Mytilus edulis: one gene and its partner. The protein of the gene in region 1 interacts with the protein of each later gene in a biochemical or structural test. Links are inferred from orthologs where the notes say so. Each region holds a gene or a part of one and is shown in the gene's direction. Other genes may lie near its edges.

Evidence for each region.
Region 2: the proteins of dihydrolipoyllysine-residue acetyltransferase component of pyruvate dehydrogenase complex-like (region 1) and pyruvate dehydrogenase E1 component subunit beta, mitochondrial-like form a complex in vitro, tested with the Homo sapiens proteins (2 studies listed by BioGRID and IntAct, with this or other methods). The link is inferred for Mytilus edulis from reciprocal best matches to the Homo sapiens genes DLAT and PDHB.

Annotation. Positions count from the first base shown.
Region 1 is NC_092355.1:10,355,917-10,371,845, reverse strand, and holds the start of dihydrolipoyllysine-residue acetyltransferase component of pyruvate dehydrogenase complex-like, read left to right. Parts: upstream 1-8,433; 5' UTR 8,434-8,493; coding exon 8,494-8,603; intron 8,604-11,002; coding exon 11,003-11,076; intron 11,077-11,907; coding exon 11,908-12,134; intron 12,135-13,034; coding exon 13,035-13,325; intron 13,326-14,460; coding exon 14,461-14,687; intron 14,688-15,929. Other genes in the region: MORN repeat-containing protein 2-like, read right to left, coding at 509-752, 1,530-1,610, 4,650-4,667, 8,171-8,180.
Region 2 is NC_092344.1:86,486,265-86,502,447, forward strand, and holds the start of pyruvate dehydrogenase E1 component subunit beta, mitochondrial-like, read left to right. Parts: upstream 1-9,649; 5' UTR 9,650-9,742; coding exon 9,743-9,775; intron 9,776-13,624; coding exon 13,625-13,687; intron 13,688-14,435; coding exon 14,436-14,543; intron 14,544-15,261; coding exon 15,262-15,324; intron 15,325-16,183. Other genes in the region: solute carrier family 25 member 3-like, read right to left, coding at 1-67. UniProt on the Homo sapiens protein: The pyruvate dehydrogenase complex catalyzes the overall conversion of pyruvate to acetyl-CoA and CO(2), and thereby links the glycolytic pathway to the tricarboxylic cycle.

The DNA of each region.
Region 1 (15,929 bases):
CAATGCATCAAAGATATTTATAAAAATAAAATGTAGTGTTTTAATTTATAAGTTTAAGTCCCAGGAGTATCACCAGCCCAGTAGTTAGCACTTGGGTGTTGACATGAATATCAATTATATGGTCACTTTAAAAAATTTCCTGTATACAAAAGTATGAAGTTTTTCAAAAGACTAAGGATTTTCTTATCCCAGGAATAGAGTACCTAAGCCCTATTTATCACATCTTTTTGGAATTTTGGGTCCTCAATGCTCTTCAACTTTATACTTTATAACTATTTTGATCTGAGCGTCACTGATGAGTCTTATGAAGATGAAACATGCGTCTGGTGTATTAAATTATAAGCCTAGTACCGTTAATAACTAATTGGACTCTTCAATTATTATTAAGTGTATAAATTGGAGAAAGTTTGTTCCAGCATTTACTCTAAGACAAGTGTAGGTGAAGACACATTAAATAAATTAAATTTAATTATGACCTTGGCTTATGAAAATGAATCTTATTGTTTACCTGTTTTCAACAAACTGTCCTGTGTAAGCTGAATTGTTAGGCCAGGTATATGTTCCTAAACCATGAAACTGGTTGTTTACAAACTGTCCTTCATACTTAGCACCAGTAGGATGTGTCAGGGTTCCCTGTCCATTCATTTTATCCTGGTTCCATTCTCCTTCATACATTGTACCATCAGTAGTGACATGGATTCCCATACCTGATCTGTCCATTGATCCATCCGTCCCATGTAAATAATCTCCTTCTGAAAATATTAATGTAAAGAGATCGTAAACAAAGTACTGTTATTTTTATTTTATTTGACCAATTATTCACTTGATCTAAAATCTAATCTCCTTCTTAAGTTAGAGAAAGAGTTCAAGAATATAAAATTCATTCAGACAAAAACTTTAAAAAAAAACCCAAAAAAAACTGATAGCAACAATAATGTCATGAGAAAAAACATCTATTTCATTTGATATACATTTGTATTAAGTGTTTTTTTATTCTTCAATGTTTTACTTAATTCAGTGGCGGATCCAGAAATTTTTATCTTTGGCCCCACTGACCACCTAAGAGGGCCCGCTCCAGGCATTCCCTATAATCAACAAAAAAAAATTCACAAAAGGGGGGCCAGGGCCCCCTGAAAAACTCTCTAAATACGCCTCTGCAATTTATTTTCCAATGAATTATAACAAATGTTTACTGAAATTTGCTGCTAAATAGTGTAAAAATTAGTTTCTTTGAATTGTTTGTGTACACATGTACTTTTGTTGGTGTCTTTACACTTTCTTTTTTCCATGGGAATTCTACATAAGACAATAATGGGAAAGCTATGGACTTTATAGTGCTTAACCAAATATGTCTATAAAATATATAAATATGCTTATGGTACATGTAAGTAGGGGACAGGGAACAGGTTTATATTTCTCTGCTTAAGACTTATCATGCGCATGACTGCCCCTTTATAATTTTTGGTCTGATTGGTCAACTTCTCTTTACAAATTTACACAACTTCTTTGCTTGCAAAAAGTATTCTTACCATATTTATCTCCATTTGGGAAAACATAGACTCCTTTCAGCACAGTAGGAGTTGCCTCTTCCTTTTTCTTGTCCTTCTTGTCTGAAAAAATATAAACACAAATTGAAAATTTTAGATAACATTATTTTTTATAATTTAAACCATAAGCCATTTATGAGATGTGCATAAGATTTTGTAATTATAGGATCCTTTTATCTAAAATAATGTTTGAAATCTTCTGAAGGGAGATAACTAGTGAGCCATGATATACATGTACTAAATACTGTAATCTTGACTGCACTGGTTATATTTTTTTAATTAAAAAAATTCTGGTTCATTTGATACTTTAATTTCATGTGATACAGCTGCACTATGTTTAAATAGTGTAAACAAAATTTTAAAATGCAAGTTTTGATTTTTTTAAGATAATTTTGAAACAATAAAAAACATGACTAAAATTAACAGTAACCATCATCATTGAACATTACTGTAAACTAAAATTTGAGTAATTTATTTTATTGAGAGTTGTGTTTAATACTATCAGCCCTGTATACCTTGAAAATACACAAAATTCTACATTAGTATCAATGCAAAAAATTAACCTCAGGCTTGGTATTAAAGAGTTATATATATGTGAAGCACATTCAAAAATCAGAAATTTGTGAATTGTGACCTGAAGAGGAAAGAGTTGAGAAACAATTTATAATGATAAGGGATGAATTTACTAATGCCATACACATGTGAATATACTGTAATGTAGGTCAACATTTATATTTTGGGTTAAGTCCAGTCAAACAAAGTTTGCAACAGATTTTTTTTTAGTTCTAATCTAAAGAAATATTAGTACCCAAATATACTCAGAATAAAGTCCCATAAAATCATACTTGAGGAAAACTCAAATTTTACATTTTTAATTTCTTATGGAAATTAACATTGGAAAGGAAAATAACTCTGCAAAAATGATTTTTTTGGGTCAGTTTTTGGTTGATTTTCTTAAAATTCGTGTAAAATATGATACTATGATGGGGTTATAAGTTTGTATTTGTCTTCATTAGTTAATTTTCTGCTAATGAAATGTACAAAACTGAAGTGTTATGGGTATTTCTAATTTTTTTGGCACATTTTTCTTTAAAGAAATTGCAAATTTATGGCTTTGTGACCATTTTGAAAAAATAATGTGAATATTTATTTTGTTTAAAAAATCTTTAAACCACAAAAAGAAGAATATATATGCTTAATTGGTTTTATTCAATTTGAGATTCTTTACCTTGACATGCGGAAAAAATCTAATAAATGGTCAACTAATGAATTATGACTTGAGATAAGATATGAAAACACCTTTAAAGTTGTTTGTTATACTATAAAGACGTCTTAAATATATAGAATCAATACATTCTGTTGAACAGAAGCGGTAAAGTTATAATTTTATATCAATTTTTATTGATATTTATGTCTTTTTTGCAGAGTTATCTCCCATAACAATGCAAATCTCCATAGGAATTTTAAAATCATTATTTTTTGGTTTTCCTCAAGTTATATTTTAGGGGACTTTTTTCTGTGTATATATTTGGGGTATAATGCTAAAGATTAAAACTTAAAAATCTTCTGTTCAATTACTTCAAGGTTAGGGTTAAATTTGTGCTAGATTGACTGGACTATTGTGATTTGTTTGAGGATAACAATATGGAGGTGTAATAAGGGGAGATAATTTGTGAATCTGTGGTATGATATATACTATATTGCAGATTGGATTTCAAACAAAATGCTATTATTTTTATTGAGAATTTTGTATACCATATCAACATAATCAATCACATATATTTAAATAAACAAAAATCAAAGTTATCATTATATACATGTATATATCGTCGCTGTTATGCAAAAACCTCATATCTAACGTTTTGATAATTTTACACCAGGCAGAAAAAACTGAAATCTTTTTATCGATTATTTAGAATTTAATATGTATGTTCCGCTGTATGCGAAAATATCTGATCTTCTAACCAATCAATTACCAAGACGAGCAAAATTTCTGCACCTATATTGTATTTTCATTATTTTTAAGCTAATATATTAGCTTTGAGAACCTAAAATTGATAAAACTGTAACTGTAATAATGTCAGCTGCTGTGCAAAGTGTTTTTCTTTTGAGATACGATATTTTCACACAACAAAATGTCTCACCAATCCGACTACACTATTTCGTCACATGTCAGAATTCGGGTTAATGATTGGTTAGAAGATCAGATATTCTCGCATACAGTGGAACATACATATTTAATTCTAAATCTTCGATAAAAAGATTTCCGCAAAAAATTGAGATACGAGGTTTTTGCATAACAGCGACGATATGTAGTTTGTCTTTGTTAATCTTTACAATGTACTGATAATTATTGGAGTAAACTTTAAAAGAAATATTGCTCTCAATTTATTTAAATATGTTTAAAAAGGGCTTTTCAGTGGCGGATGGATCCAGAACTTTTCATAAGCGGGGGCCTGCTCCAGTCATGCTTCAGTGATTCCCTATATAATCAAATATCAAATTTTTTCCATGAAAGCCCCCCCCTCCTGAATCTGCCTATGCTATTATTTTCTATTTCAAAGTCATAGTGCATACACACAATACATATGAAACATAATCTTTAATTTGATACATAAATCAAGACCAATTGGACATCCACCAACCACCATACATCTTATATAAAAACACAAATTACAGCTTGGTTTAATCAAATGGTAAATTTCCTCAGACTGTTTCAGATTCTTGAAATAAATACTGGAAAACAATACTCATATTAAGGCAGAGCAAAAATGGCTTGTTTCAGCAATATTTATTTTGTTTGTTTTTTTTATTGTTTGGTTATGTCTTTAAAATGTAATACAAAAAGCTTTAATCACAAACATTCACATATAGTGTTAGTTGATTTGAGTTGCTGGAAACTACTTCTATGAAATTACGTCATGTCAAACAGGTGGATACAGAATTTTACTGTGGTTTTCAAATGCAATGTGAAAACAATGCAAAAAATAAGAATACAATTTCATTTTAAATAATTTCTGAGAAGTAGTTTCACAACAATAAAACACATTTTACAACAACATTTTTATTCATATTTAGATTCACACAAACACGACAAATTACCTTCAACTATTTGATTTTCTGAAATATTTTTAAAATTTAAGATTTGTTTTTACTTCTTTACCAAGAGACAATCATGGTGAAAAGTTTCAATCTTGTTCATTGAACTGAATGTTACAGTTTCTTCTTTTGTTGTGCTCTTTCATCACTGTCCCAGTTTAGAGGGGGGCTAAGCACCAACAGATATGTTCAACCCCTCCACATTCTTTATGTCCCTGTCCAAAGAACCTGTAGTTTAGTGGCAGTCTTCACGATGAACTGCTAGATCTACAGGCCCAGAGCTCAATTTTTGAAAATTTTTAGTTAGATTCTGTTGGCCTGAGGATATGATTTTTACAGGCCCGAGAGCAATTTTACAAGCCTAGGCTGCCTGGGTTGCCACTCAGCATGAAGACTGTAGTGGTGGTCATTGATTCATGTCTGTCATATTTGTTTTTCATAAATTGTTTTGTTATAAATAGGCCATTACTTTTCTCAATTGAATTGTTTCATATTTTTTCATTTCAGGTCCTTTTATAGCAGACTTTACAATATGGTTTTTTTCAATGTTATAGGCTGTATGGTAGCCTTTAATTGGTTACATCCACTTCATTTGAACTTCGGTGCATATATGTCTCATACCATACATGTACATCATCTCCTAAACTTTTTTACAAATAAAACCTTTTTGTTGTTCTTATGATAAGTGTTTTCTCAGAAAATTTAATAAAAGAAATTAAGCAAGTGAATAACTTAAATTTAACATCGATGGATTTTTTTTTATCTTTAATTGCTTCACTGCACATGCTGTAGGCTATATATTTCTTTTTTCATTTTAATACTTGGCTCTAAATTTTTAAGCTATCATTTTTATGTTAACCTTAATGTATAAAAACAAAGTAAAACATAAATCCAATTGATGGTTATAGAGTATAATGGGCCAAGTAAATGACAGTGGACAAAATGAATTATAAAAAAAGTGAAAACTTTCATCAAATTAAAACTTATATGTGTTGTATTGAAAAACAATTGATGCAGGCAATACTGTAAACCAACTTATTTTCGCGACTTTCGCGAGTAAAAAAATAACGCGAATTTAAATCGTAGTGAATATGGAAAGCTTGGATAATTCCTTTTTAAACTTCATCAAGTCAATTAGAAAATCGCGAAATTAAATAGCTGCGAAGTGGTCATGAAAGGGTAAAACGCGAAAAAAAGTATCCGCGAAAATAAGTTGGTTTACAGTAGTCTCAAAAGTTTCTTAAATTCAATGGTATGGTTGAAACATTTCACTAATTTAATAGTTGACAATATATTTCTACAAATACAAAGTCTTTGTGTAAGATCTAGATGTTTAAGTTTGAATATATTTCAGTTAAGAAGTTGAATTAAATATAAAATGTGATTTTAAAATGATAAACAAATGAAGTTAATACATGTAATATTAGCTGAGGAAATGTAGTAGTCATTTTAATTGATAATATATTGTGCTTAAGAGTTTTATAGATTTTAAATTAAAAGAGTTATCAATTATGTGAGCAGTATAACAGAACTAATTGCTGCTACAATAAAAAACACAATGTGATTCATTACAATATTATAAGTTATGGTAATTATAACACCACGCAAATGAGATGTGAAGATCATTGATGTTAAAATGTACACAGAGTTCTGTAAACTAACAGTTTATTATCACAACTCCCTTGAATTTAAATATAAATATACTTAATAATTAAGGGTTTTACAATTTGTTTATTTCTTATAAAATAGTTAATAAGTTACATTAGCATAATAGACGTAATTTGATTCCTCTTTTGCTCAGAAAAAGTCACCTTATGTTTTGTGTACATTAAATAGAAGAACTCATTTAAAAATAGGAGCTATAAATTGAATGGTCTTTTGATGTCTCTAATTCTTTTTAGAAACATTTTGCTTTGTATCAACATGATCAATATTTTAAGAAATAAAAAGTAAAATCACAAAAATAATGAACTCTGAGGAAAATTCAAAATGGAAAGTCCCTAATCCTTAAATCAAACGGCAAAATCAAATGATAAAACACATCAAACAAATGGACAACAACTGTCATATTTCTGACTTTTTTTACACAAGATTGGTCGATTATTTTTAAGCATGACATGTGAAAGTCAAATAATTAAGTGTAAAAACAGGAAACAAAGTCCAGCATGACAAAGGAAATTACATTTATGAGCTAGAAAGGGGACCCCCTATTAAAGAAGAAAATAATAGAAAAAAAAACTTGTATTTTAAATTTAAAAAAAATTCCCGCAAAAATATCATTCTATTTATTTACTCAAATTTGTTTTAAAAAATCAGACTTTTTTATTTTCCTGCATCTGCGCAGAAATCTACTTCCTTCTTTCGGTCTTGTTTGTCATGAGAATATATATACATGTATATAGTAAAATATAGGGTAACACGAATGACCGAATAACACTGTTATTATCGGAATAACACTTGTAATGACTGAATAACACTTGAAATTTTAATATTAGCACATATTGGTGACTTTTAAACATTGATTATTAAATAATAATATATTATCTATGTATTTTATATGGGGACGAAGTCCCCAATTACGGTAGAAAAATCAATAAAAAAAAAAAAAAAAAAAAATCGAGAAAATGTCCTGAATTTTTCATTCTACTAATGAACTCAAAATCGTTAACTTTTTTTTCAGATCTACATCCGTTTCCGGTCTTGTTTGCATGAGACTTTGAAAAAAATGTATATTTACATGTATCATAAAATTGAGAATGGAAATGGGGAATGTGTCAAAGAGACAACAACCCGACCAAATAAAAAACAACAGCAGAGGGTCACCAACAGGTCTTCAATGTAGCGAGAAATTCCCGCACCCGGAGGCGTCCTTCAACATATCAACAAATATAGGAAGGAATTTAACACTTAATCATTTTTAATAATTGTTTGATATCAAAAAGACGTTACCTTTTATTATAACAGCGTTTGTTTGTTTACATTGAATATGACGTCATAACTTAAATAACGTCACAACTAAATACCTACCAACAGAACCAATATCGGAAACGTTACTGTATTTCCATTTCTTTTATCAACATGTTTGAATTAAAAAAAATAATAATACAGACTTCGTCCCCATTCACCATGTTCACAGGTAATGCCTGCCTCATATTAACTTAAAAATGATTTACAGAAAGCAGTTAAGTTCATAAAGATCATTTAAAAATGTGTATGTACATCGAACATGGGGACCACAAAAATCACAATGGATGTACACACTAAATTATATATCTATAAGTCTAGTAAAATATTACATACAGACTTCAACCTTTTATAGGTTATGCCTGCCTCATATTATGGCAACTAGCAGGATACAGGATTGTCATAAAACAATATAAGGGCGATCTTGGATCAGTCTCCGATCCCCCTCCCCTTTTCCCCAATGTCAATGAGACCCCCATTATCAATTTATGGTCATTTTACATTTCAATTTTTAAAAACAATAAAAAAAAAAAATTCTTTTCCTATGGTCAATGTTATACCTGCAGGCATGTCTGTGTCAGGTAATCTGTTGAATAGTAAATTATAAAATCTGTGAACTAATAGATGGAGGCAGACATTTGTAAACAAAACACCATGGAAATGAACTCACGCGAGATATTAAACTTAAAATTAGTTTCGGATATATATGCAAACTCACAGAAAAATATAATAATTTCTCATTTTAAACCCTTAATTTCATTCTAAATTTATAATTGATCTATTTGAAAACAAAACGGAAACAAATAATCAAATAATATGTACGAAACTACCTGTGACATTGCTGCTGACATTGGACAACAAGTTGCAGACAACAAATTTCAAAATGTTTCGTCCAACACGACTTGCACGTGTATTGCTTAGACTACAAAGAAAACACAGCAACAATCTAAGAACACTTGCTACCAAAAATAATCAGTTTTATTTAAAATCAAGGTACAGACAAGAAATGTTTCACATTCGGCTTTCATGATGAAATCTGATGATCTGTTATATTATTTTATTATCTGTATGAGTACGTTGTCGATACCAATACTGGCTTTCATATAACGGTATGAGAGCGCTGCCGATTTATTGACGGGGCGTGAGAGCAGATTTAAAGTTTCTACGCTTGATGTGCGCACTACAGTGTCGTCAAAAGCTGGTTCCACTAGAATAATTATTTATCTTCTCTTGAAAAGGATTTTGACTCTTATGACAATTGTATAAACTTGTTTACGGTTGTACACAAATTTGTCTGTCATTATTAAAAAAAATACATACAAGGTCATGAAGGTCCTGCATAAAAGAGCATCACATTGACACAATAACATTTACAATGCTTATATCCTGTCTGACCTGGCCCCTTGAACTTTTGATGCATACAACAATCACTTTTCCATTGTGTCGTCAGATATTTTGTATTATGACCTCAAAATTTAAAGGAAACCCGTGTGATATCCAGTAATGGTGGACAAATAGTGATAAGGTGTATATTGACATTGACACAGCGTCAGCGTGATCAGTAACATATTTATTGACAAGATATTAATAAAATGTCTTCAAACTAGTTTTAAAGTGATGCCAGTGTATCAAACTTGTAACTTATCTCTGAACATGCAAAATGGTACAGAATGCAAAAAATAAAAAAATGGTGTTGAAATTGAATAACATTATAAATACTTTCCACAAATATTAATCAGATTTTTTGGTCATTTTATATGACAAAATATATCAACTTTATGAAAAAAAACTTGTATTTATTTACGATTAGAATTAGGTAGATTCATCATGTTCATTGAGCAGTTCAGATACATTTGTAGTTTTCAGTTAGACACATACATGTATATATAATCCATAAATCTCGTTAAGTCTCATGGAGTCAGAGATTTCATCAATATTTTATTCTAAAAAGCCTATTTTATTCATTTCCTGTTAAATATACTGTTCCCAGGCGTGATGGATATTTTAAAACCTGATCATGATTTATGAAACAAGAACATATGACCATAAAAGACTTAATTGCACTGTTAGCTATATATATAGATGGTTAGTATTTAGCTGAATTTATTTTTCTCCAAACGATGCAAGATATTTCTGAGAATTACCTTTAGACCTTGAGTAAAAATCACTTTACAGACCATTTCATTGAGTGTGTAGATAGAGGTAATATCTTTGGTTTGCTTGCTTGCTGAACCATGAAGTCATTATTAAAACAATATCCAGGCTGACTGGTTGGGATGTCTCTTTGGCACATTACCCATTTCCATTCTCAATTTTATTTGAATTAGTCTCAGTTTACTTTTTAATGAAATCTTACTATACAAATCCTTGATGAAATGCAGGACAATTAACTATTATGAGAAATTAAGATAGTGTTTCCTACAGGTGGTTTTGGTGTGTAATGGCGCCCTGCCGCGATTTCTCGACGCCCTGCCCTTTTTGGGAAAAAAATTTGGCGCCCTGCCCTAGTTTTGTCGAAATTCCTGACGCCATACCTTTACGGTACTGAAAGACATATTTTATGAATACCGCTCGAGTTATTTCCCTTCAAACGTAAACAAAAGTTCACTAGGACGCCATTTTGTAATCGATTTCGTAATCAGCTGATTAGCAAACTGCAATAGATTGAAAAGTGAATACAGATACTAATCACGCGTCCTGATTGTATCCCCCAAGTCCCAGAAACATCGTTTTGCCTAGAAGATTATGATATGACATTGTTTTGACAAGAAACTAAACCGGAAAACGATTTCAAAACATCGATTGCTTAGATCAATATTTTTGACAGCTGATAGATATCTAATTTACATAATATACATTGTTTGCATGGTTGAACAAGCCAATGAATGTCGATCATGAGACATTTGTCAAAGTGAAAAGTAAAAATTCTTTGCAAACTATTTTTAAATACAAATGCTTGACTGTACCTTAAATGAAATGAATAAAAATCCAAACTAAATTATTAAAAGCAGAATAATCCAGAAAATAAATGAATTCCTTGATGAAATGTTGTCTTTTGTTTACAAACATGTCACATGATCATTTTAGGCGGGAAAAATACTTTGGAAAACACCTAAGTAACAGACAACTATTTCTGGCTATTTATAGACATTTAAAATAAACAGCTGATATGGTAGTGCCATGAAAGTAGTAAAACTTGGTGTATCTATATTAATTTAATTTGGAAATTATTTTTGTTTATGTTACCAGATGTAACTGGAACTACACACTATTTTATTTTCGCATAAACAAAAATAATTGAAGGAAAATTCTTGCTGATGATAAACCAACATAAAAAAATAATTTGCTTCTTCATATTTTTACTTTTTCCATATTTTTTGTCTGTTTTGTAGCAACACAACCAAAGATGTGCAGCAGCTTTTACAGGTTCACAGATTGGTCCAGAACTACCGATGTTATAGTTCAGGTATGATGTTCTTACATTTTATAGCAAATACACTATCATTTATTTTTTACTTGGTGCATAAATGTGTGTTTTCTTCTTGGTTCATATAAGTGTTTTCAATATAACATGTTAGTTGAAATTTTTCTCTGACACATTTTTTGATACTGAAAACAATGATTAAACTTATGGCAACTAGTGGCAGAAAGCTTTTCTATTTTGAAAATGTATCAATCTTGATTTTTTCTTCTATAGCACCTACAATCATGACAATGTATCAGTTAAAATTGATTGTCATGATTATGTGACATAATGTGTCACTTTGCTTTCCTTCAAATTTACATGTTTTGAATGGTTGAATTTGTGGAAAGTTATAATAAAATAAACAGAAAATGTCTATGGATAGTGATCAAGGCTAAAAACGGATTTACCACCAATTTTATGAATAATTTCACTTATCATTTTGAATTTGATTAAAATTAAATTGAAATGTTGTTATTTTATTTATTATTTTGATATATGAGCTATTAAGATGCTTTTCATTTGATCTTTAAATTACTTTAATACAATAAATATGTAAGAGGAAGTATGCATATCCATTAGACTATTCCTCCAAAGTCCAAAGAACAATTGCTAATATAAGATGCCTATTATAAAATTTAAAAAAATAGAAATTAAGGGGAGTAACTCCAGAAAGTAATTTGATTTGAACCTAAAGGAAACATTAGATTGTTATTCAGTGCACATACCAAACTATTTACTAAAAAAGAGACTTAATACGAAGTTTCTAAATTTGTTCTACAAAGGAAAAGGTCACGGAAGAAAGCAAATGAATTTATCTGGTTTATTTTGTAGCCGATTTACCAGCACACACCAAGGTTTCGTTACCAGCCTTATCCCCGACCATGGAAATGGGGACTATAAATTCCTGGCAGAAAAAGGAAGGAGACAAGGTTGCTGAGGGAGATTTATTAGCAGAAATAGAAACGGATAAGGCCACTATGGGGTTTGAATCATCTGAGGAGGGTTACCTGGCCAAGATATTTCATCCAGCAGGGTCTAAAGATGTTCCCATTGGGAAGGTAGGAGAATATTGATACAGTCAATTGAAGTAAAAGAAATTGATAAATTTCATAGGTGAAGTGAGTCCTGAGCATTCTAAGCTGACTTCTGAATTCCATATTTTCCTGGGAACAAAAATTTATGTATTAAAACTTTTTGATTTTAGAAAATGAACTTGTAGTCTTAAATTGGTACTAGCTATAGACATATATATATAATGCATACTATAATATATATGGACTTTCTCCTGCAATCGAAGAACAATTCATGGCCCATAGCTGTTTTCTACTCTAAGTCTTTGTTGTTGTCTCTGACCATTTTCCTGTTTCCATTCTCTATCCTATATAGTTACAAAAAAAAAAAAAACTCAATGAGAAAAGATTAAAGATGTTTAAAAATAATAATAAAACAGCATATTTTTTTTAAGGTATGCATTTCAGGTTTTGGCTAACAAATCCTTGTTTTGAGCTCTCACCTACACAGAAGGGTTGTCTTATTTCATCAAAATATGCAACAAAATTTAATCAAAAACATATAAACATTTTTCATTGGTAAATGACAGATAATGAAAGAAGCCAACTAAGATGTAAACACAATGAATTATAATCTTATTTACTGACCCAGATTTATTATTAGGAAGGAACACACATACACTTCATATAGAAAAATAAAACCGTCAAATAAATGTAAAATGTTAAAAGTGAAGAGTATGCATTTATAAAAAAAAGTTAACAAATTTAGATTTCACTTACATTAACACTGTACTTGACACTCCTCCTAAGTTGACAGCTGTAAGTTGAGATATTAAAGTGCCTTCACTTTGTCCCATCCCATGCATATTTTTATCAGCCCTTTCTGTCTTAAAGGTAAGAACAAAATTAATATACAAATAACAATGCTAATGATTTTTTTTGTTACAGTTACTCTGTATAATAGTAGAAAATGAAGAAGATGTTACAGCATTCAAAGATTACCAGCCAACAGCAGCTGATGACCAACTTCCTAACAGTGATGCTTCTGAGCCTGCTGCACCTCCGCCTCCACCCCCTCCTAAACCATCCCCAGCGGCAGTGGCTCCACCACCAACACCAGCACCATCAAAGGCAGCCCGTCCTCCTGCAGCATCTTTGTCAGTGCCTCCATCTGGTGGCAAAGCGATAGCCTCACCATATGCAAAGAAGTTGGCAGCTGATAAGGGCATTGATCTTAGTGTTAGTATTTATAGACAATCAGGGGACTTACTTAAATAAGTGATTTTCTAAATCACTGATTCAAGTAACATTATTTCCATAAAGGTTGGAAGTTAGAGTTGTCTTTCTTTAATAATAACCTATTTAAGTAGTACAAATTAATCACTAGAAGAAGTGATTTAATTTTATTATTGTTCTAAATATAGAATACTAATGATCCAGGTACTAATTTCTAAACTTATCAGAACCAAAATCTGTGTTGTCTAGGATAATGACATAAAAATCACTTGTTTAAGTATCAGACCTCAATTTTCTTCCCAAAAATCACTTCTTTAAGTATCATTCTTTTAATAACCCCTACTAATTTCAACACCCCCAAACAGTGAAATTTTATCGTGAACAGTAGAATTTTATTACATAATCTGAAAGATGAAACCTTGAACTTCACAGGAAATATACCCCTGACACTGCTGGGAAAAATCTTTTAAGAAAGTATCAGTTCATTATGTAAAGCCATTATTATAGAATTTTTACAACTAAAATAGAATTTTCAGATAAATGATAGCATCAAAGTCATAAACCTTGCTACTTAAAAGAAGCAAAAAGTTCTTTTTTTTTTTATTTAACTAATTTAAAGATAATATTTAAACCTATGTTTTTGAAATTTTGAAAAAAACTACAAAATCCCAATTTGTAACAAAACCTCGAATTTGCTATTCAAATAAGTGATTTAAAAATCACTTATTGCAGTAAGTCCCCTGACTGATAGAGAACTATTTATTTGTATTAATATGTTAACATACTGTGCTGATTGTATGAAGCTTTTAAGTAACAGATATTTCAATTTCTAGTGATTTTTCTTGTTATATTGTATATATTAGGGACAACAACATGTACTTTAGTATTTCATGGATCGTTTTAGTATTAAATATTCATGTATATTTTTATTTCATTTATAAACACAATTTCAACCTATTTTTTTTTATATAAAATAGGTGAAAAAATCATTATTACTGCTGTGTCAGTATCCTTTGATTGGACAACAAATGTTGCTTAAAAAAAAAGTTTAAACAGCTAGTTATTAATTTTAGGAAACCTATCTTGTAGTGATTATCTCATACAATTTATAAAATTACATGATATGTTTTAAACATAGCAAGTAGCAGGCACTGGTCCAGGAGGAGAAATCAGGGCAGATGATGTACTCAACTTCTCACCATCAGCCGTGCCTACATCTGTTCCAATATCAGCACCAGAGGGAGCTTTCGTAGATATACCTCTGACCAACATGAGAAAGGTGATAGCAAAGAGATTAGTGCAGTCCAAACAGACAATTCCTCATTATTATTTAACTGTGGATGTTAATGTAGATAAAGTTTTAAGGTAATTGCATTTATAATTTATGGACTGAACACATTCCTGCTTTAGGAGAAACTTTAATTGGTTAATTTTTGAATTCCCAATTTAATTGTTTATTTTTATTTGAGAAAACTTTTATTTGATAACTTATTAAAGCATTTAAGCATGAAAAAAAAGAAGTATGAAGTTTTAAAAATAATAAAAAGTATAAAAATAACCTGCTTTAAAGGTAGAATATAACCTACAGGAATGCAATTAATTAGACACTTATGAACACTTATGCTTAAAAATACAAAAATGCCGAAAAGATCATTTCTTTAGGTCCTATCAAAATTATTGTTGTTTTAAATCAAAGGATATCCATAAGGTTTTGGTTAGGGATTTCGTGCCATAGGGTGCAAGTTAATTCTAAGCTTCTTCTATCAATAAACACTTGCCATAATGATATAGCTAATGTGGAAGGGTGAAATTTAAATGGTTTGTATGTATATAGTTTTAACTTTCAGAATTGTACTTTGATCTATATGATGTTATGTTTTTCTGTATAATAAATATCCATTGGAACGTATTTATTGGATTTGTTTACTTATTTACAGAATAGAATCTTATGTCAATAATAAAAGAATAAAGCATGCTGTTTTGTTTATCTTTAGCATATAAAGATAAACAAAACAGCATGCTTTATTCTTTTAAGACATATCTTGACATAAGATTCTATTCTGTAAATAAGTAAACAAATCCAATAAATACGTTCCAATGGATATTATATAACAAAGTGACCAATACTGACCATCAGTACAACTAATTAAGTTGATGACCTGAGTTCTGGTATGTGAACCCTTTAAATGTCTATTCATTGTACTGATGGTCAGTATTGGTCACTTTGTCCATTCTTATTGGTCAGTTAAATCACATGTATATGTGTGGAGGGAAATCTCTTTGTTCTTTAAAAGTATTCTTTTGGTTTTACTCAGCATGAAGGCAGACATTTTGAACCATATATACTTATTCATATTCTGATGTCCATTTGAGTCTTTATACTCAGCCACTGTGTTACTTTATCACCATATTATTCATTTAGGTATTTATGATTACTCACATATATTTAATTGTCATTTAATTAATAGTTCTAGTGTATTTGAAATGAGTGATTGATTGACTGACGGATAATACAGCTAAATTGGTTAAATGGTTAAAAACTATATAAATACAAACCATTTAAATTTCACCCTTCCACACTAAGAGAATTGAAAGTGGTGTCTAGCA
Region 2 (16,183 bases), on another chromosome or scaffold:
ATTTAGCCTGATGGAAAGGGCTGCTGAACGGGTTGTTTTTCACCGCGTTGGAGATTGCTTCCATCATTTTGACCTGAAATATACATGAATATTATATATAGACTTGTCGTTTGAAATTTTGATCAAAGTTTTACTACAGTTAAGATTTAAATTGACAACCGGCGTTTTGTCCTCTTACCGTTCTGGCGTGTTGCGACGGAAAGGACTGATTAAAAGGTCAAACAGGGCTAAATTCTTCATACATTTGTGATTGGACGGTGCTATTGTGACGATATCGTCTGGTTCCCTGTTGCATCCATAAAAAAGTTAAATAATTGATGATTTTGCTATGTATTATTATAATTTATATAAAAATTTTCAACAATTTTAGTGTTGGGAGTGTCGTTTGTGAATGGAGATAATTTTATAAAGTTGTTGAATCCAATATATTCTTCAAGTAAAATAATTCGATGCTCAACATATAAAAGTCTACAGTTCGTCTAACCAGAGACATATATATGTTCCAGACCATATGAGTATTTGGACCGTACGCGTACGGTCCGGACCGTATACGTATACTCATACGGTCCGACCATACGCGTACGGTCCGACTGTATGAGTATACGCGTATGGTCCAGTACGAGCTAACCAGCTAACTATATAATTATGTTATTAGATCATATGGGTTAAATTTAAACAAATTAACATTAATCACAATCTTTACTTTCAGGTTTACTAATTAATATTATTACAATTACACGGAAAAAGTGAACAAATGAACAATTGAAATTAAATATTTGTTTAATTGTATATATCTTGATCCTTATTTTGGTAAGATCTCTCAACCAATGTTACACTTGCTACCACAAGTAACGTACTAATATTTTTTACATTTACATGTTTGCAGTTCGTGTATGTTCCTTAGCATTTGCATTTTGCGTAAAGTTGCTAAATATTCTAAAACAATATTCCTCCCACATTATATTTACTTCCAATATTTTCAATTTTAGTGTTCATAATTCAATTACTTTACTAAGTGATCGACATGCTAAAAATACAAGAGATTAACAGATTCAATTAGCGTGAATTTTTTAAATCAATAAAATATAAAAGTGGTTTTTTTTCAATTACAGTTAAACTTTTTTATATCAATTTGAGAATTAAGTTATATTGATCTGTTATATGCATCTAATTAACTTTGCCAACTTCTTAATATAAGTCAGACCGTACGCGTACGGTCCGACCGTATGAGTATTTTGAAAAAGTACGCATACGGTCCAGACCGTACGCGTACGGTCCAAATACTCATACGGTCTGGAACATATACACATAAGTGTATATATGTCTCTGGTCTTAACTCTTTCGTGAACACTTCAACAGTGGTGAAAAATACCAAAATATCCCGGTCTAAAAAGCATATCGGTAATTTTTTGCATAGTACAGCTTTGCACATTCTGGAACTTGGGACTTGCCATTTTTACATTTGAAAAGGGAGGATAAATACTTCATTATTTATATCAGAGACATATCTAGATAGATATACGTCTGTGTGGTTTTTTTTTAATTTATCCAACCCTTTAACTTAAACATTTAAAAATATGACCTTCCCCCTCTGTTATACATACCATAATTTTAACATGCAAAATACTAACCTTTGACACACATGAAATGTAGAAAGTGTGACTTCATAGAGGGTGGCAAAGGGGGGTGCTTGCACGAAAAAAAAACGTGAAATAAGACATAATTTCACTTTGAACGTTGATATTCCCGATTTAGTATAAACATTTCTTGACGATCCCTGCCAAGTGTTTGAATTTTATTTGAAAAATACCGAGCACGCAAAATAAGACTTTGAAAATCACGATGCACGTAAAATTAAATAAGCAGAACACGTTGAACGAGGCACCCGTCTTGCACGACTGAACGTCAAATAAAAAAGTAAAACACGTTGAACGTGACATAAAAAAACGGCGATCACGTTGCACGAAAATAACCCTTTACCACCCTCTTCATATAATTCAAAAGTTCATTAGAGATAAAATTGAACCCCTCTTCAAGTTCCACTTACAGAAAAAAAAATCTTGATCCCAACTACATTTCGACCAGTTCCCTCTCCCGGGTGAATATGGTAAAATATGAAGATTTTCTACACAAGTCAAAACTTTCATCTCTTACGGTCAGAATATTACGAGCAATAGCTATATAGATTTTTTTTAAATTATACACAAAAAGAGTCCATCATATTCAAATGATTTGGTTAATAAAAAAAACAGTTGAACAGCCCCAGGTCACGGAGAACAACAGCTATATACATGGCTTCAATTCGTTTAGATACATAGCTGCAAAATTTGGAATGAACTACCCCAAGTTTTAGAGATAAAAAAAAATTAAACAATTTTCTAAATTTATTGTCGCCTAAAGTGGTACCTTATGTCGATGCAATACCCGCACATTATTAATGCTATACTTTTTAGTGCTTTTTTTCTGCTTGATGTGCTATAATTGCAATCTAATTAAAAACCGATATCTCATCGCTCCTGTTTCTGATATGTCGCGTGGGAGATCTAACGAAACCCGCTTTGAGGTCACATGTGAGTGACCTCGTAGGTGTGTCTTTTTCGACCAATGGAATTGAGTCTTCCACGATCTTGGAAGTTTAACGTAAGGCAAAGGGATGTAACTCATTTTATTTACGACGAAATCGTCAGTCAAAATAATTCATAAACTTTTTTGATTGGCTTATTAATAGGTCGTCAACTCATTTGCATATCTTTATAAATTCATAACTTTTAGTTCACTCACATGTGACCTCAAAGCCGGTTTCGTTAGATCTCCCACGCGACATATCAGAAACAGGATCGATGAGAGATCGGTTTTTAATTAGATTGCTATAATTGCTAATGTGTTTTAAAGTGCTTTGTATGTTGGCATTATTGATTGTTTATGCATGTACTTTTAATAGTTCTGCATAGTTTAACATATTTAATTTATTCGTGTCATCTATATCGTAATGTATGCTTCAATGTAATGATTATTTTTGTGTGTAGATCAGTCTTGTGTGTGTAGCTCAGTCTTGTGTGTGTAGCATGCTTGTTTTGTTTTAAATGTTTTGTTTGTAATTATAAGACGGTATAAAAGCTCAATAGCTTTAGAGCTAATGTTTTCTGTATACTGATTTCGTCTATAAATAAAGCCTTAGAACTTCAAGGGAATTTGGACTTTGACTTTATCTTTTACTCATATGGCATCAGTAAACTTTTCGATGCATATACATGGATTTATCAGAGTTTTAATTTAGTCAAAATGCGTTTATAAAGTGCCAACAATACTGAGTACAATACCTCATCTCTGTTGCATTTTTATGTTGTAGAAGAAGTCACTTTTCGAATTCAAGCAGCATGTAGCTGAACGCTAGAGTAAAATTAATACTAAATCTTTGTGCTCTGACTTGTTTCACAATTTACTATATGGTTTGTAATCAAACAAAAATTTAGTCATTATGATGTTTGAAATATTTAGACACTTTTGTCGTGCATGTTCCTCGACAGTCGTGTTGGTTGCATAAAACGACCTTCCTTAGTTACAGCCACTTTGTTGTGTTCTATTTTATAGAGCATATTTAGCCTAGCGTCTTTTCGCCTTTTTTTCCAGAGATGGTCAATTAATCCAGGTGCTCAATCATTTTGCTGATACTTGAGTGATTATGGTGTATGTTGGAAACATATCTTGCTGCTCGTCTCTGGATCATTTCTAGACGATCTATTTCGGTTTTAAAGTATGGGTCCCATACTTGACTTGCATACTCTATTACTGGTATTGCGAGGCTTTTGTATGCATTTTCTTTGACTGAGGTTGCTCCTATGTTTAGATTTCTCTTAAGGGAGCCTATTGTCTTATTGGCTTTATTGCATATGTTATTGATATGATCATTCCACTTCAGTTCGGATGTGAAGGTGCAACCAAGGTATTTAGCACTTTTGACAGGTTCAAGTTTGTGACCATGCAATATGTACGAAGTTGGAATGGTGTTGTTTTTGCGGCTGATGGTAAGAACATTGCATTTGTCCGGATGGAAGGACATTTTCCATTTGACTTTCCATGTTCCCAGTTTGTCTAGGTCGCTCTGGGGGTCGTTTGAATCTTTGTCAGATGAGATGGTAAGATATGCTATTGTTTCACCAGCAGGATTTGATCCCATCTGGCATGTCGTTGATGTAGAACAAGAATAATGCAGGACCAAGTACAGAGCCTTGGGGAACTCCAGATTCTACATCAATATGTTATGAGCTCTCTCCATCCACTACTACTGCTTGCGTTCGATGGGATCAGAAGCTAGCAATCCATCTATTGGTTTTACCACCGATACCGTAATGTTCTAGTTTGTGAGACTATGATCGACTTTGATAAATGCCTTTGAGAAATCCATTATAAGAACATCTGTCTGTTTACCTGCACTCATATTTTTAGTGATGTCATCCACGAATTCGATTAGTTGGGTTTCACACGAGCGTTTACTACGGAAACCATGTTGTAACGGATAGAGGATTTGATGTTGATCAGCATGTTTCATTATATGACTTGTAACTATATGCTCTATTAGTTTGCAGCAGATACAAGTTAGAGAGATTAGTATATAGTTTTCTGCTTTATATCTTTCTCCATTCTTGAATACTGGTGTTATGTTCGCATTTCTCCAGTCATTTGGTACATCCCCAGTTCTGTTGATGTTTTGAAAATGATTGTAAGGATTGGGGCTATTTCTGTGGCCAGTTCGTTGAGTAGTTTAGGTTTTATATTATCTTGTCACCGGGAAATGATATTTCAACTTAATCTTAGCAAGTTAGGGGACGACCATTTGATATTCTGGGGGGGGGGGGGTGGGGGTGGAGGGGCAGGAGGATTTGTTTTTGATCGGTTATTTATTTTTGTAAACTAAGAGGACATGTTATCTATTTTCTGCACTATTGAAGCAAGATTTTTTATTTTCATTAAAGCAAGGGACTGATTATTTATTTTTACAACTATATTTATAATATTCGAAAACATCCAATTTTTAAATTATTTGTTTATAAATTATAAATAATACATGTATAGTTAAGTCATCATGATGTACCATTTAATCAGAATTAATCATTCTCCTCTGCAGAAATGAATCTTCTATATTCCCAACTGCATATACATGTATTGCTTCCAGACACTATATTGAAGATTGAGTGTATCTAGCCTATTTAAAAAGTATTGGCAAAACATTATAGGCCGAGCGGAGCGAGGCAATTTTTTTTTAAAGGGTTTTTGAGCCACTGAAGGCTTCTGTTTTTTAAACTCATGATCAAGTTAATAACAAAATTACTATATAACAAAAGGAATGCAACACTAACAGAATACAGAAGGGCAATCAATGAACAAAAGACAAATAAATAAGAAACATTGATCCTGAAAAATCAGGGGCTACGTTTTAGGGATAACAGAACTTGCTTCTTGCAAGGCACTCGACGTGAAAACAATTTGATATGGAGACAAGCGTTTGGTTTTGAAATTTTCTACATGAGGCATTTGCCTTAATGTACAAAATGTAGTTACGGCCCTGTTAAAAGTGAGGTATTAAAGTGTTGCTGAGAAAACATACCTCAAGTTAAATGAAGCCAATTTACAGACATTTCAAGTATATTTAAATAATATTTATACTTTTATTATTAAACAATTTAGGCAGTGTTTGACGAAGGCGATTTTTTTTTTAAAAAAGATGAATTTATGATGAATCTGGTGCCAACTCATACTTTCGACTAGACCTGTTGACTTATTTATTTTCAATACATTGCAAGTCAGGTAATTTATTTTCAAACTACCACAGAACAAACCATTTATTTTTGTGATTATCAAGGCTGAGTTATTTATTTTCAAAATCCTCCCCACCCACCCCTAGAATATCAAATGGTCGTCCCCTTAATGCTGAGTTCACACGTTATTCGAATTCGATTCGCATTAACTAATTCGAATTAGTTTAATTCGCATTACGTCCTAACGTCAATTCTAATTTATATTACAATGCGCGTCGAATTCGCTTTACTGTCCAAACGACGTTAACTTTTTATTCGTATTAACAAAAGCGTATTTCTAATGCGAATTGGAATTAGTCAATTCGAATCAATTCGAATTCAAAAAGAAGAGTGTGTGAACGCGATTAGCGAATTCGATTCGCATTCAATTCGAATTAAATGTACGCGTGAACGAAGCATAAGTTATTAACCGACAAATAACATAGGAAATAGGAATACGCAATATAAACACAGCCACCCTACTAGCAAGATTTAGTCAGTAGACCAAGAAAGCACAGGAAAATATAAACGGAAGTTAGAAATCGTTTCCGGGACTTTATTGCAAATAAAAACACGGACGTTTTGACTTACCAGAACATCTGCAACCCCAATCGTAACAGCAAGAACAAAATTAAAGTACATGGAGAAAATTACAAGGAGAATCCACGTAGGTTTTAATATGTATCAATTAGAACCGTTATGCCTAAAGGCCATACGATTGAGGATTGAGGAAGTTCCTTCAAATATACCATTCATGCACGGGAATGAATTTGTGACGTCAAATATGATAGACTGGCTGTATGTATATTTTCTACCTCCATGTGATGAATTTTGATTTTGAATTTTGAATTTGATAGATTTGTTCTTGGCACTGGCTATGGTTACATGGAAGTGTAACAATAATATGAAAAATATCGTTACGATCATAAAGTATCTTGAGTCTGAAAATGATAACACTGTTTCCCCCAGTTTCAACCATAGTTGCTTGAGGACAGGATCCTGTTATGAGCACCCCATATTCCATCCCCCTTATTATCATAAATCTCAGATTTTTTAATATATCACTTATTTGTACCATATATATACTAATATACCATATTTTTACTTTAAATATGCATGTTTACTATCAACGTGAATCTCGACTAGACATTAGTTGATTACTTTCACAATTTTTAAAGGGACACTAGCTACGAGATGTATAAAAATCTAAAGTATGATTTGTTTTTGTTCAATCAATAATAAAAGTGAAATAATAAAATAATTCTCTTTTAGCAGTCAAAATGGAACAATTTTGTCAAATCTAGGAGGTTATATTAGAACATACTAGAACACACCCGTGATATCGCGGGTCCGTGACTGAATTAAAGTATATAACTATGCGCAAGCCTTATTTTAGTATTAGTATTGTCATCTGATAAAGTCATGCCGATTATAAGATACACAGTTTTCTCTGCTTTTAAATCTTTCTGTTTGAACCCGTCGAACTGGAACTTATCAATTATTGATAATATTAATTATTTGGAAAACAAAAGGTCCTGGAATGGAGTATTTTTTAATCAACAGCATTGTCCTATATTAGTTATAAATAAAATTTGACAATTAAGTAGTGTCAACCCTGTGATTATGACCCGTGTAATTACTATATGTGCATATTAATCCTGAATACACCGTTTGGTGGTGCGCCTGTCAGATGTGGAACGTACAGATAAGGTAATCGGTAACAGGTGAATATACTATTGGTATTGGTATCGGTATCGGATTCGACCCGGAACTTCTTAATTATTGGCAATATTAATTACGTGGAAAACAAAAGGGCTTGGAGTGGTGTAATTTTTAATCTACACCTTTGTACTATATTAGTTATATATAAAGTTGAATTCTTTGATTCGTCGTTTTTACGTGATGATGGCTGACAAATTGGACCTCGTAATTTTAGTATTATAGATAACCTCCTTGGTCAAATTAAGCTTAATAATATTGATAATGAAGTATTCACTTGCAAGTGAATAATTACTGAGTCGACCTCATTAAATCCGTATTCATGTGAACTTCAATTTAACCCCTTGACTAGAGATGGACAACGCATGCTTTGTACATGTACTGTTTATTTGAAGGAAAGGAATGTCAACATTGAAAGTGAAACAAATGCAAATCATTTGATGACTGATTCGATCCACTAACAATCTTTCTTCTACATTAAAAAACGAGGAGAAACATACATTTTTATCCTATAAAATAAAATTAAACAGACCTATAAAAATCCAACTGCACGTGTTGGCTTAATATATTTATATCTAATCATTAGTATATTGATAGATCCGTGTTTTACTTGCTCGGATACTAATAATTAATAACTATATTTTTGTAAATATTCTATATTCTTCAAAACTACATATGTACAGTTATACTACAAATCTACAACTCCCAGTATTTATGGCTACACGTGCTGTTCTTTGTCTATAAAGTCATGAATATTTATTAGCTATGTAGGCGTGTCAAAATCGTATCATACGCGATAATGACCAGCCAGTACACTGTAATGATTTCATTAACCAGTATTAAAAAGATAAACATAACAATATTTATGTTACCATATGCTCTGTAAACTGTTTATTTCACACTTTTGATAGTTTGGATAAATGTTTTGCATTGTTATAAATAAAATATGAAAATTTGAGTCAAATTGGTGACCATGAATTGCGTAAATGTAGATCTAGAGTGGGGTGCTCATTTTCGCCACATCTTTCCATGTTTTCTACAGTTTATGTTCAGGTCTAAATGTTTTTGAAGTATACTGATATTTCTATATGAAGATAACTTCAAATGCAAAATATACTTAAGCTTGAAAACCGGTTTGTTTTAAGAAAATCATCTGAAAAGTTAGATTAAAGGGTGTTTGAAATTTCCGGATGTTTTGTCAATGGGGGACACATATTCGCCGTTTTTACACATCTATTTAAAACCAAATAACCGCAGCTTTTAACAATTTTTATCAAATCAATTGCATTATAGATGAATAGCAGACATTTCAAAGGTATAAAAAATTCAAAATTAGGGCATTCAGTCAAATATTTACTTAGAAATACTTCTTTGAAATCGTTTTTTATTCAGGAAATTGTCAGAAAATCGTTGTCCGTTTTTTCGGTCATTTTCGGTAGGACCCGCAATTTTGTCTCAGTTTAAAAAAATATTATATTTGTTATAAAAATATAATTTACGGGTACATTTCTTCCATTTCAGCCATCCTTTGAAGGTTTTACACCTCAAAATCCTTAAACGGCGAAATTGTGTCCCCGGCGAAAATGAGCACCCCACTCTAACAGTAACACACGGTTTTATCCAAAAATCTACTTTTTTCAATATAGCAGTTTTTTTGTAGTCATGCGGGTCTAGATGTGGGGGGGGGGGGGGGGGGGGGGGGGGGGTCTGTTATTCTGTAAACATTAAATTTTCACCCCTTATTTCTCTAATCTTTAAAAAATTAAACCCTTTTTTCTCTAATCTTCAAAAAATTAACGCCTTTTGTCTCTAATCTTCAATTTTTTTGCCGGTTATTCTCTAGCTAAAAAAATCTTCATTTTTTAAGGGCATTATTCTTTAATCATTTTACAACATTTAACCCCATCCAAACCCTCAGTTATATCTTCATTTCATTTAAATCTGGGAAAAGCTTAATTATCAAGGGTAAGAGACCATATTTTGGAAATTTAAAAGGGGGCAGAAACATAAAATCATGCTGCAGTCTTCCCATAAATTATTTAATTATAGAATATCAAACTAGGCTGACTGTATTTTATATTATGCGCCCTCTATCGGCTGATAGCTCTTCGATGAGCGATGGGAGATTGGTGGAAAACAACGGTTGAAAATATTCTGGTTAGGTATTTAGACGAATCCAGATTTTTTTTCTTCAGTGGAACATCGCGTGAAGGTTACTGTGATCCAATATGGCATCCGCTGTAGTTCAACGAATTGTGCGAGTATGTTTAATGAGTAGAAAATGTATCTTGGGCTGACGAAATGCTAGAAAAATTGATCAAACATTTCGGTCAGGGAAGATACTTGTTGGTTTCATTCTGAAGGTGTCTGGGTGTTTTCAGAAACATACATTTACAGTGAACTCGTCGTTATTTTCACTTTGACACTTTTCCGACCGTTTCTACTAAACACAAAATGAAATACCACACTCTAGTGTTGATAAAATGTGAAAAATAGTCAGATGAAATAGATTGATCATGTGTGATGATACTGATAGAAAAGATCTGTAACTATAGTTGCCATCAGCTGAAATTTGTAGCAGTTATTGGTAAAAAAAAATCTAAACTATCAATCGCGTTCACTCGTAGATATCCTCTTTATATAAATTTGCTAACACATATGTTTATGTATTGGCATAGACTAGAGAAATTTCCATCTAATTTATTGAAAAATGCTTATGCTGAGTAAAAAAATGATGGAAAGTAAAGGTCAAACTAGTTCCAATAATTCATGGCTCTCTAATATCATTTTCTACAGTGAAAAATTGGATATTGACCTAAATATATGTAAAAATCTAGGAAAAAATTAATTTAAAAACTTACAGTGCAGTCCGGTGTATCCGCACACATAAGACTTATGACTTCACTTCATTCAACTGATAAAACCAATAATTGGATAATTTTGTGTGAACACATTCATAATATACTTTTATTTCATAAAATCTTCTGTTTGTATGGTTTCATCCTCTAGATTTTGTGTAATGTGTGTCCAAAATTAAGGAAACCCCTGTTCTGAGAGTTCCTCCAATGTCCGGTGATTTCGCACATGCCTTCCAAAAATAGCTTATTTGGAATAAAGGAAAGATTTTACACTACAAAATATAGCTGAGTTTGTACCAAACACACTTCCAAGGATGCAGAGCAAAAATTATTTCAATCTGATATTAATTTGAATTAAATAAAACCAATTTTATCTGATGATGTAATTTTTTTAATGGAAATTGGCCAAATATGGTAAATCACAGGATTTCAGTTATTAATTAATTCTTGAACTTATCAATTTTATTCTTTTTTATCCCTTCGGAAGGCTAAAACATTAACAAGAACGATTTTGTATGTGTTACTGTGTTGATATGACGAAATCAGCTAATGCGCGATAACACGGGCCGCGCGGACACCGGGGACTCCACTGTATTGAAAAAACAGCTCAAATTAAATTTTCAAAATGATTGGGAGAAAATGCGAGATTTTTATTTACAGAATCAAGGCAAATTGGACACTTATTTTTCATTCAAAAGGTCATTTGACTATGAAAATTATTTAGATTTAAAGCACCCACAAAAACATTTGTTAACAAAATACAGACTTAGCAATCACTGTTTAAGAATAGAAACTGGCAGACATGAACGAATTACCAATGTATGTGGTAAATATGAAATATTACCTCGACATGAGAGGATATGTTTATATTGTAATACAAATTGTATTGAAAATGAAATGCACTTTCTTCTGGAATGCCCAATTTACAATAACCTCAGAAGAGATATCACTGATTATATAAAAAAATACCCCAGTTTAGATAGTTTAAATATAAATGATCTTTTTTCATGGATCATGATTAATGAAGATAGCTGATTTTTATCTATTTTATGTGCATACCTGGATAAAGGCCTGCAACTAAGAAAATCAGAAAATTAGTTAAATACTCTAAAATATATCATAATTATCTCCCCTTGACCACTGATCCTTTCTTCATGCATTTGAATTTCAATTATTATTTTATGTTTCTTTAATCACTCTGTAATGTTTATGTCATGTTGTAATTAATGTTATGCTCTTAATGGGCCCTTTAATTTGGAAAATAAAAAAAATATTGTAATTGTAATAAATCGTCAAAAGAAAAACCACTACTGACCTACCTTATAAGTGATCACACTGTAATAATCCTGACCTTCACATTTTCCAGAATGTTTTTCATTGTAATTCCGCCATCTTCGTTCTATGAGGATAATCCTTTGATTACATGTGAAATTCGTCACTTTCGGAGTTTCCTGTAATATTCATTTCATTGATGTGACAACATTTCCCGCGCTTTATGCAAATTTTCAGAACTTGAACTCCACAGAAACAATTCCTGTAAAACAATGCCTGATTCCACCATTCAAAATCGTCTTGGAAAATGTGAAGGTCAGGATTATCACAGTGCAATCACTTAAAAGGTAGGTCAGTAGTGGTTTTTCTTTTGGCGATTCATGAATGGAATGTGAAAAACTATATCATGAGTAAACGTGGTTGATAGTTTAGATTATTTTTACCGATAACCGCTACAAATTTCAGCTGACGGCAACTTTATGCATTATACTGCTTGCTGTAACACTTACAGTTACAACATTTATAATTGTTTTTACATGCTCACTGTAATCAGTTTAAACAGTTACATTTATGATTCAAAAGCTAATTAACATGCTGTCTGTATTATCGTAACAAAACTATGATTACTCACTTAATTTATTATGTCCTAGCTTTGATTCAAGGGCACATTATTTAATGTTAGGTGTCAAATAGTCATTTTCGACTACTGTTAGCGTCAAATGGATTAAAATTTTACTGTGATTCGTCAAAATATCCTTATCGTGATTTGTCAGAGGTCCCAAATAATTATCATTGCCATTATTTTTGGAATCAATAAATGTGATTCGTCAAAATCATTCGATTTTTTTTATCGTCTAATTACAGGGTTTGAAATTAGCAGGGGCCTGCTCGCCAATGGCCCTAATATTTGGTGTGGGCTACTTAAATTTCTGCTTATCTTGTATAGGACTGTATATCAGGGCTACAAAATTTAAGCTGTGGGCTACAATTACCAAAGTCTCAAGTTCAATCCCTGAAATAAAAGTACATATTACCGTCATGCACCAAAAATTATCGTTAACATCAATTGGCAAGAATTTTTACCATTATTCGTCATGAAGGTACCCCATTACTACCCTCATAAAAATGCATTAGTACCATATCTTTTTTGAAAAGGGGATTGGTCCATTGGTAATAAGCTTTAGATAACTCTTACAACGAAAGGTCAACTTGTAACACTACAAAGTGGTACAGATGAAAACTTGTACGATAAAAAAAATTATGCAATATCCAGATTGTTTTGTGTAATATACAGCATTTATACATGAGAAACTTCTGATGCCACAGATGGCTGTACCATAACAACATGCACTTCTCTATGAAAAATCTACATGGACATGAAATAATCAACAAAAAGATGTATGACATGCTTATTTCTGTTATCAGAACCTTTTGTAGCAGGCTTCCAAGTAGGCCAACTGTAAATTCATGAAATTATTTCGTCTTCTTACTGGGAAATGGCAAATTTTGGCAATTTGTGAAATGACACTCTACTGTGAATTTCATTATCTGTCTTTTCCAATTATACTTACATATATATGCTTGTTTCCTGCACAAACTGACACCAAGTTTTATGCAAAACCTTAAGTATTTTATTGCATTGCAAAAAAATCATTCAAAAAGTAAGTTTTGAGAGCTTTCTTATTTGACTACAAATCCAATTTCTGCTGGAGTGATTTCTCAAATTTTTTATAAGAAGATGTATGCAAATTGAGTGTAGAACTTGTCAAACATTGAAAATCATAAACCTATCATCATGCAATTGCATGTTCAAATTACCTCATGTATATATACAAAAATGTATCAGCGTAAAATTTTTCTGAATTTTTTTAACATGCAAAAGTGTATATTTTTTGGCCAAAGGACCATTGTGTAGGTTGGCTTTGAAAAAAATAAACAGTATTTTAATTTGGGTCTGAGCATTTTGATTTACAATTACAGAAAGTGCCATTGAAAAGTTTCAATAAACAGTTTTCCACAACGACAGTTAGAGCTGGATCTCAGGTAAATTTACATTAAGTCATTTGTGTAGAACAGTCTTCATGAAAAACTTTTAAATCAGCAGGCACAGAGCTCAAATTTGGGAAAGTTCAGTTAGATTCTGTTAGCTTAACTTGTAGAGATGATTTTTACGGACCTCAAAGTCAAAGCAATTTTACATGTCTGGGCTGCTGGGTCTGTGGCTAAGCGTGTCAGAAGAGTGGTAGAATAGTATATTTTAAATCCAAATTAGAAAATAAACCCAGCAGTGGTCTTACATCCATCACACATCAGCTTCCTTTTTACCACATATGTTTAGCAGGGGTTACTTTTTTATTAACAAAACCATGAACAAAAAGAAATAGGATATACAAATGTACAGCAACAAAAGACAACCACCAAATTACAGACTCCTAACATGTTTGTAAGCCCTAACCCACACCGCTAATCTTGGACAGTGGTGACGCAGCTCAACATTACTATAAAAATCAGTTGAAAAGAGCTTTAACTCATTAGAATAATACAAAGCACAAAAGAATAAAGACGTTGTCACTCAAACAAAAGATTTGAGAGTAATTGGCGTTACTGAAAGCTATTTGAAAGCCAATAATAACTATTAAAAAAATCATCTATCTAAAACTAAGTTATCATTCAGTTCACATCCAATGTTTGCCTGTCATTGACTGACCTTTGTCTGTGCCAAAATTTTAATTAATAATATCTAATTTTAGCACATTCAATTACAAATAAATCTAAATGATTGTTTTTACAGTTAACTGTCAGGGATGCCTTGAATGCTGCTATAGATGAAGAAATCAAAAGAGATGATAAAGTTTTTCTATTGGGAGAGGAAGTTGCATTGTATGATGGTGCCTACAAGGTTCTTAATATATTCTCACAAAATTGAAATCAGTTTGAACCATTGAAAACTTGCTAATTCAAAATACAATGATATATAAATTAAATGCTTTAATTTTTCCTTGAAAAGTCCTTGTTGTTCCTGATTGAACAGTTATCCTTCATCAATATTATTATGGATAATTGGAATAAATTCTATAGTGTTATAATATTAAATAGAAACTTTCTTGTAATGTTGAGAACTTCTTTGTAAAACATGTGAAAGAAAAGATTATTAGCAGGATAATGGCCTTAGCTGTAAATATCTACACGGCTACTTAAATGTTCTTCTATGTTCCAGTTATTAAAGCTTTATGTTCTACGCCTCAATGTTACGATGTACAAACCTGTTAAAACTAGTGAATTTATCCAAAAATGAAAAACTGCCATCATCATAAACCAAAAGAAAAGAAAAAAAGTTTTGATTTATTTTACATTTATTTGTTGTATATGCAATAAATGTATCTGATGTTAGTAGTAGATGGAAAACAACCAAACTTGAAGCTCTAGATTATCAAACATAACTTATTTTATCAAAAAGCATGTGTACCTAAATATTTTATCCTGTAATTTCTAGAGCGAAACAAAATTCAGCAGATTTCATCTCTCATAGCTGTCTTCTACTACTGGTTCTTTTGTTTATGTAAATGTGATATAAAGAAGATATTTTTTTTCTCTGAAATTTTCTTTTATGATTACAGGTTAGCAGAGGATTACACAAGACATATGGAGACAAGAGAGTAATAGATACTCCTATTACTGAGGTTTGTTAAATTTAAAAACAAATTTAAGCTCACCTAGCCAAAACTTTAATTATGACAGGCTTTATTATAAGTCAAACTTAACACAGATAAAGTGCACACAAATACCAGAATTGCTGTCTCAGAGAAATATTTAAATGTTTTTTTGGTGTTTTTTTTCATACTTTTTCCATGTAAGGGGAGATAATTAAGAAACTCAGAATGATGTATTGTAAATTCTAAAATTTGTTGTTAAAGTTTTAATGTGGGAAAATGTAACAAAATGTTTTAAAATTATCACATAATTAAAGTTTGCATTCATTTCTTTTAATTGAAATACGAAATTCATTCACCAATCTCTTAATAATAAAATTGTTGTTTCTCTAATTTTTGTGCTATTTTCTCATTTCCTGACTGGTGTGAGAAAAATATTTTTCCTCACTAGTGAAAAATCAGCAAATGATTAGTCGAAATTTGATTTATATGACGTCATAATGTTTTGTTTTCTTTTCAATTTTCCTATTGTGATGTCAGGAAAAAAGGCGACCTTGCCTGATGACGTCGCATATAAAGAACACAAGTTTCTGAAAATCTTTGAAAAAGAATGATTAAAGTCATTAGAGAAACAGATTCTGACACTATAACTCGTGTATTACGATATTTTTCTATTCTCGACAGTTAAATTTAATTATTTAAAATGCTCGGCAAGCCTCACGCTTTAAATAATAAAATTTAACTTGTCTCGAGTGGAGATATATTGTAATACACTTGTTGCAGTGTAGGAATCTATATTTCTTGTTTCAAATTCAAATTATTAATCCACTGATTAAATTTTACTTTTATACTGCAATTATCAGTTACTGTAAATCAGAAAATAGAAGTT